2 linked regions of the Sus scrofa genome follow. The protein of the gene in region 1 binds, or shares a complex with, the protein of each later gene. Links are inferred from orthologs where the notes say so. Each region holds a gene or a part of one and is shown on either strand. Other genes may lie near its edges.

The links.
Region 2: the proteins of PRKAA1 (region 1) and PRKAG1 are in contact, whole or in part, in a crystal structure (PDB 6C9H), measured with the Homo sapiens proteins. The link is inferred for Sus scrofa from reciprocal best matches to the Homo sapiens genes PRKAA1 and PRKAG1. Residues at the interface, in NP_006242.5 of Homo sapiens: Ser295, Ser296, Thr297, Met298, Ile299, Asp301, Glu302, Lys305, Arg342, Glu347, Ala348, Phe351, Tyr352, Leu353, Arg369, His371, Pro372, Glu373, Pro376, Phe377, Asn449, Val451, Thr452, Thr536, Pro537, Arg538, Gly540, Ser541, His542, Thr543; in NP_002724.1 of Homo sapiens: His36, Asp40, Leu41, Ile42, Pro43, Thr44, Ser45, Val50, Leu64, Val65, Gly68, Val69, Arg70, Trp75, Ser77, Lys78, Lys79, Gln80, Phe82, Pro158, Glu159, Ser160, Gly161, Asn162, Lys170, Arg171, Lys174, Phe175, Leu178, Phe179.

Annotation. Positions count from the first base shown.
Region 1 is NC_010458.4:25,759,349-25,762,996, forward strand, and holds part of PRKAA1 (5'-AMP-activated protein kinase catalytic subunit alpha-1), read right to left. Parts: intron 282-3,648; coding exon 137-281; intron 1-136. UniProt on the Homo sapiens protein: Catalytic subunit of AMP-activated protein kinase (AMPK), an energy sensor protein kinase that plays a key role in regulating cellular energy metabolism.
Region 2 is NC_010447.5:15,047,394-15,051,141, reverse strand, and holds the start of PRKAG1 (5'-AMP-activated protein kinase subunit gamma-1), read left to right. Parts: upstream 1-1,522; 5' UTR 1,523-1,562; coding exon 1,563-1,571; intron 1,572-1,642; exon of another isoform or gene 1,643-1,829; intron 1,830-3,748. UniProt on the Homo sapiens protein: AMP/ATP-binding subunit of AMP-activated protein kinase (AMPK), an energy sensor protein kinase that plays a key role in regulating cellular energy metabolism.

The DNA of each region.
Region 1 (3,648 bases):
CCTTTTGTATGTACATAGACAAAATGGTGAGGATACACTACTTTGGGATACTCGGTCTACTGCATAAGTTATCTGAATAATGCTATTGATGTTTGTTAAACATAATGAATATATCAAACTATAAAAATCTCCTTACCGAAGTCAGCTATTTTTGCATTCATGTGTGCATCAAGCAGGACATTTTCAGGTTTCAAATCTCTGTGGACCACCATATGCCTGTGACAATAATCCACACCAGAAAGGATTTGTTGGAAGAGACGTCGACTTTCTTTTTCATCCAGCTAAGAACAGTAGAGAGATATCTTAAAGGTGAGTCTTTAAAAGAAGTTATTCTACCTATAATTCTCCAACCAATAAAACTGGGAAAATGCAAGAAACCTTCACAAGATACTTTTGAATTGGGGAGAATATAAAGACAGCACCAAACGGAAATGCTAGGAGGGACTTAGAACCCAAGTCAGGAACTCAGCTTTCTTATATTACCACTCTTCTGACTACACTCTAAAAGCTTTCTTCCATCTAAATTTCATGCACTATTTCAAATAATTTCATATTTTACTTAAAACTAAGCATTTTTTCCTATAAATTACAAATATTTAATCCTTGATTCCTTTAACCATTATTTATTGAATACCTTCAATGGGCCATGCATTGTTTTAGACAATCATGATATAGCAATGAATAAAACCAAGGCCCTAATCTAGTTACAGAAAATAGATAATAAACACATAAAGAGTGACAGTGTTTTGAAGAAAAATAAAGCAGGATAAGGGCACAGAGAGTTTATACTGGGGTGGGGAATACTGTTTTGGACCACATGAGAAAGCAACATTTAAGCATTATTAATGAATTTGCAAGCATGACCATGTTATCATATCTCCTAAAATAAAAGATGTTTTAACGAAATAAAAACCTTTTTTAATTTGTTTTACAAAATACAACATTTATCTTTGTTTACTGAAAAAATCATATCTTTATGCTATAACTACGTTTTTTAAAATACTCTTTAAAAACTTCTCTTTCCATTTATCCTTATTTGCTTATTTTATTAATTTTTTTTTCCATAAGTGAAAACCATTACTTGGATATGCCTGCTCCCAAGAAGTTATATTTAATAAATGAGCTATTAATCCCCTGGGCAAAGGACTCTAATATACAATTCTCTAACACAGGTCACAAATTAGCATTATAAAACCAGATTCTTACACCTATTAAATGGCGTTGAAAATCTGGAAGATGAAAACAGTCATTTCTTTTGAAAGTATAAGTAAAATTATCAAAGTACTAAGAGACACCCTTCCTCCAGAGGAATCTAATGCCTTTATTTCTAGGTTCATTTTTTAATACAACTTCATGTCAAATATACTAAATGGGAAAAAAATCTGTTCTAAATGTCAAAGAGAAGAAAATCTGATTAAACAAAATATAAAAATCAAAATTATACTATATTAATAATAAATACGGGACAGAGATCAAGGCAGGGAAGTCTACAAAGAAAGATTAGAAAAGTCAAAGCATATTTCCATTTAAACATGGCAGATGGAACCTTTGGTCTCCACTTTTTGAAACATCACTAAAATGATAGCATATAAAGACAAAAGAGCAAGAGAAGAGACAGCACTAATCAAGAGGAGTCACTAAGCTAGACAGAAGATGAACAGTGCTGTGCTGGCCAACCACAGGAAGCTGAACCTCCTAAGCCTTTAGGGGTGGAAATCAGTGATAAGCTCAGCTGCACACAGACCCCTGAAAGGGCTTAGATATTGAAGGTGTTGGGCTGAAGGTAGAAATGAGAAGTGAGCTGACAACAGGACAACTGGTTGAAGAAAGACATTTTAAGCTCATACTTACTGAGGAATAAGACCCATGATTTACTCCTTAGTAAGGCTGAACTAGCTCTGTTCTTAAGGACACCAATGTAGGAACAAGGCACAAGAAGGAAATTGTGGGGATTCATTGAAAGTCAACATACTAACCAGTGAGGCTTGCTAGCCTTTCCCCATTTAGCTCGCAGAGGCACTGGCAGCTAAGCCAATAGCCACAAGGAAACTAGAAGGTTTCTTCTACAGCAGCTAAATATTTATACATTTTCTCCTTTTTTGGCTGCACCCAAGGCATGGGGAAATTCCAGGGCCAGGGACTGAATCCCAGTCGCATCTGTGACCTACACCACAGCTGTGGCAGTGCTAATATTCCTTAACCCATTGAGCTGGGCTGGGGATTGAACCAGCAATGCCACGAGACAAGCTGGATTATTAACCCACTTCACCACAATGGAAATTCCAAAATATGTGTAATTATTGACATTCTCTAATCAAATGGGCAGGTCCCTACCTATTCAACTTATGGGAAGACCCACCAATCAATAAGTTCTACCACCATGAGCTTTGCATTTAGTATTTCACTCTCAGATATGGGCCCACAACCCAGAATCACCAGACATCTGAGCAAGAGCCATGTACAAAAGACAAAGACCAATAAAATGAACAGAAGAACAGGGAGCAGGGAGCACAGAAGGCACAGAGGCAATGTAGGGAACAGAAGAAAACTTTTTTTTTTAAACTAATTGCCATCTTCATATAGATAAGTTTATTTGCTCAATGGAACAAAAAAATAGGCTAATTTGAGAAAGACAATTTCAGAAAATAAGAAAGAGATCTTTGAAATAGAAAAATGACAGCTGGAATTTTAATATGCAAGAGGCAAAATTGAGGGAAATATCCGTAACGTAAAACAAAATGATCAAGACATGAAAAAAGGAAGAGAAATGATAAGAAAGCAAGATATCAATCCAACTTATGTCTGTTCCCATTTCTCTAGGCAGAACATTGGGGCAGAACATTGGGGAGATTGGAGGAGGAAGGGGGACTGAAAAGACAGATAAAACACTTGAAATTGAAATGAACCATGTTAAAAAATGGTAAAATTAAAATTAACTTGGCTAATGATTTTGATGAAAGTAAACAGATGTGCTATATAGAACAAATGAATGAATGATATAAGAACTCTAAATTGGGAGGGAAAAAAAACTGGCTTCTCCATGCTCGACCTGCTCTTCTGGAAAGAGGTTTTTGCATACTACATACCCCAAGTTGAGAAAAAGTATGGATGGGGGGTAGTGTGCAGTTTTGGTATCTGTAACTTAAGATACTGTTAAAACTGCCTTCTAAAGTTCCTTCCAATTCTGAATTCTTTAAGTCTAATTTCTCCTTCACAGAACCTGTTCTGACTATTCCAGGTACACCAGATTTCTGAAACCAAAAAATGAATGCAATTTAAATGTGGCTAGGGTTGACTAGCAAGGCCTCGATCTTTAAGTATTTAATAACATATTTTGTGAGGACTAAATACCTACTTTTAGATATATATTAAAATTATCCTTGTGCCCCAGAAGCTAAGTCTGAAGATCATGAGTTTTGGAATCTCAATCCAATTCTGTCGTCAATAAATTATGTGACCTTAAGCAAATATATAAACTGTCAGTCTCAGATTCCATATCTGTGTAAGTAGTACGGAGATAATATTTAAGATCCTTCCTAGCTCTAAACAGTCTCTGATTCTAGGCAAATATATGAATAAAGGAACTGGTTATTAAATAGACCTCTTAACAAAATTGCTTTCTGGTATTTTTTGATGCTAGTAAGGGAT
Region 2 (3,748 bases), on another chromosome or scaffold:
AAGGTGGGGGTGTAGAGGCTGGGCGATTCCCACCCCCTTTTGTATAGTTGGACTATGTTATAACGCACAAAAGTGAGCTGGCCCCAGGGGGAGCCAGAGGGTAATGGGTTCCCCTGCCTCCCTTTCCTTCCCCTTTCTGCCCAAGCTTGTGCTGCAGTTGAACCTCTTCCTGGGGGTAGGGGTAGGTCCGGGGGTAGATGCGGCCCCAGACCCCTCTCTGGTAGGGAGCCGTGGGGATGAAGATGAAGCTTATATGCAGTTCTCTCCTAGGGGCTGTGGGCAAAGGGCATTTTGTAATTAATATTTTCAAGAATCAAATATCTGGAGTGTAGGGGTGGGCTTGGTGGCGGTGTGTGGGCAGGCCTGCTGGAGGGGGAGCACGGTCGCTGTTGTGATTTTAGGTTTGTTTTTGTTTTGTTTTTGAATTTGGGGGGTTGCGGATTGATGGGGGTAGGGAGATTTTTTTTTTTTTTTTAAGCTGCTTCCTCAACTGTTTCAAGCTGCAAATGTTTAAGAGGATAACATCCCACCCCCACCCCCACCCCCACCCCCACAGAAACCACTGTAATGAAATCAGACAGTGGGGAGACTGGGCTGCTGACCCCAAAGCCATTGGATGTTCCTTTTCCAAGAGCAAAAGGTCTAGGCTCCAGGGATGGGGAGATTTGGCTCCAGTGAGTCAGGCCCTGGTTGGGGCTTGGGCCCTGGGATTGGGAAAAGGGGATGGGGCAGACTTTGTAAGCGTATGCTAGGTATCCGATAGTCCTGTAGAATTTAGTGAAGAAACCTTATACAGTTTTTAATTTTTATATAAACTAACTCAGACCCAAGCTACAAGGTTGGAATTTTGGTTGTTGGTTTTTTTTTTTTTTTTTAAGTACCCCGCCTGTATAATTGCATCAGAATTCCCTCCCCCACCCCCACCCCCGTGTTTGTATTTTGGGTTGGTTTACACTTGCACATATTCAATTTTCAGTTTTTCCCCTTTACGGTCTTCTCCCCTCACCTCCAGGACCCTCCCCCTTTTTAAAAAATAAATCTCTGACAAGTGTGAATCCCGTGAAGACTTTATTTTGTGTTGTGTGTATCCTGTACAGCAAGGTTGGTCCTTCGTAACAACGGATGAAATGATTCCCTTTTTTAAAGCGCCCTCTCTCCCTCCACCCCCAGCGCCCCTGTCCTTGGCATGTTTTGTATCAGCGATCATTCTGAACTGTACATAATTTATGTTGCAAGAGGCAAAGGGCAAGTTTTGGATTTTGCTTCTTCCAAGTTTGTTTTTAAACGACAAATAAAAAAAAGAACATTTTAAATACAAGCGGCTCCGTCCCGTCACCCTCGCCGTCGGTGGGATCAGCGAGGTCCCAGTGTGGACCGGGGGAGGGCGGTTTCTGAGGCTAAGCAACGCCGGAAGGGTAAGCTCCCCGCCTTCCGCTCTTGACTTGCGTGTGTCCCGACGTAAGCGGAAGTGGCCTTGCGGTACCGGACGTGGGGCGGGGCCTTCTCCGCCCCCCGCCCCGGGCGAGCTTCCTAAAACGAACGAACTCAGCCGGCGTCTCGCAATGGAGACGGTGAGGAGCGCGGGAGGGCGGTGGGGGGGCGCTGTGGAGCCTAAGACCCCAGTAAGGGGACAGGGAAGCCGGCGCTGGTGCCCAGGAAAAGAGAAGCCCCGCGTCTGTCCTATTCCATGACCCTGCTGCTCCGCTTCTTCTCCTCTCCTAGGACTGGGCCGCGTCAGTGCCTGCCTTCCGTCCGCGGTACTGTTAGCCTGAGCGGGCAGTGACTCCCGGCTCCCTCCTTGGAACCCACACGCACCCTGGCGATCTCAGGTCTCCTTTCCTTTTAGCACCACAAGCCCTTGAGAGGTTTGCCTGAGAGAGAAGGGTTGTGATCCAGCTTTGCTGGGTGAGGCAGGAGGTTCAGAGGGTCCCTCGCTTGCAGGTAGCACCTGGTGCCCAGTTGTCTGAGTGAGATTCGTGGAATCCTTGGCAGGAGGGACGTCTGAAAGCCTTTTATACCGCCTTGAGGTGTCCAGCGACGTCACATCCCTTGATAAGACTGAAAAGTGGGGTTTCCCTGAAGGAGGGAATCTTTTCAGTGTTAGAGGCCACTGTGTCCCTGGAATAGTTTAGGTCATGCCCTGCTCTGCGATTCTAAGCAGATGTGTTGTCATAGCTCCTTCTTGGCAAGCAGGCATTAACGGATTGTGGCAGGCCCGTGTCATCCTCCCAGAGTTGCTGCAGGTTGCCTTCGACCTATTTGGACCCACCCTCACTCTCAGGACCCTTGGTCTAGCACTCTGGATGGAGCCTTTTCCATTCCCTTACCTCTCCGACAGTGCTTAACCATGTCTCTTCTGTCAGGCAGATATGCCCATCTTGGTTTGGATCATCTGCTACTGTAGTTGTGTGAGGGCTGCAGGTTCACTTTTCTTTGGATCAGTTACATGCCCAGGCTAATTTCCTTACTGTAACCCTTTTCTCCACCTGCAGAGGGGTCATGTCCCTTAGGTTATACAGAGGAAACAAAACCAAAGTGGTAAATTACGATTTGCAACTGGCCACTCAGGCAAGGGAGTTACAAATTAAGAGCATTTTGAGCAAGAATAAAAGATCTGATTCCACTAAATTTCAAATAACATTATTTTTTACTCGGAAATGTATTATGGTTTACAGAGCATTCTTGTATGGATTTTCTAATTTAGCCCTCATACTTTAGGTTCTTAGAATAGAAATTGTTTTAAGAAGAAGGAGAAAGAAAACCCCTGCTTTGAAAATGCTCAGCTTAACTGGAGTGGGAGTGAGGGCAAGCAGTGACAGCTGTTATTTCAGGTAGACTGTAATCAGTGCCATCATCAAGATGCAAACAAGGGGACTGTGGAAGCATAGGGAAGGGAGAAATTACTGTGAACCCAGGAGAGGGCATTGCAGGTTGAGAGAACAGTGTGAGCAAGGGCATAGAAACTGGGGTATGTAGAGATTAATTGGGGGTGAGCCAGTGGTTTGGTGTTGCTGGAGTTTTGGATTTTGGTCACAGTTGGAGAAAAGACTAAAAGTAGGCTGAGGTCAGGTTGAAGGTATTGCATACCATGTTAAGTTTGAATTTTGTTTTTGTTTTTATTTTGGCCACCCTGCAGCATTTGGAGTTCCTGGGCCAGGGATCAGATCTGAGCCACAGACCTGACTTAAACCACAGATGCAGCAATGCCAGACCTTAACTCACTGTAGGGGGCTGGGGATTGAACCTTCTTCCCGGTGCTTCCAAGATGCCACTGATCCCATTGTGCCACATCGGGAACTCCTGACTTTTGTTTTGTAACAAGGGGACCCACGGAAGGTTTATGAGCAAGGTAGTGAGTATGCTTTAGGCATGTCCCTAATGGCTTTCTGTAAATGGATGGGGCTACTTCAGAAAGTAGTGAGTTCTTAGTTGGTGGAGATGAGAGTCCCTTGCAAATCTGAGGTACTTGGGGAGAGAACTGGGTGCCAGCATGGAAGACAAATTAAGAGGAAATAGATTTAGGGCAAGGAGACCAGTTTAGAGAATGCTATAGAAATGGCATGTACGAGGCTAAGCTTAGGAGTTCCCTTGTGGCACAAGCAGGTTAAGGATCTGACATTGTCACTGCAGTGGCTCAGGTCACTGCTGTGGCACAGGTTTGATCCCTGGCCTGGGAACTTTCACATGTTTTGAAAGTGGCGGGGGGAAAAAAAGTGGGGGGGGGGCTAAGTTAAAGCTGTGAAAGTAG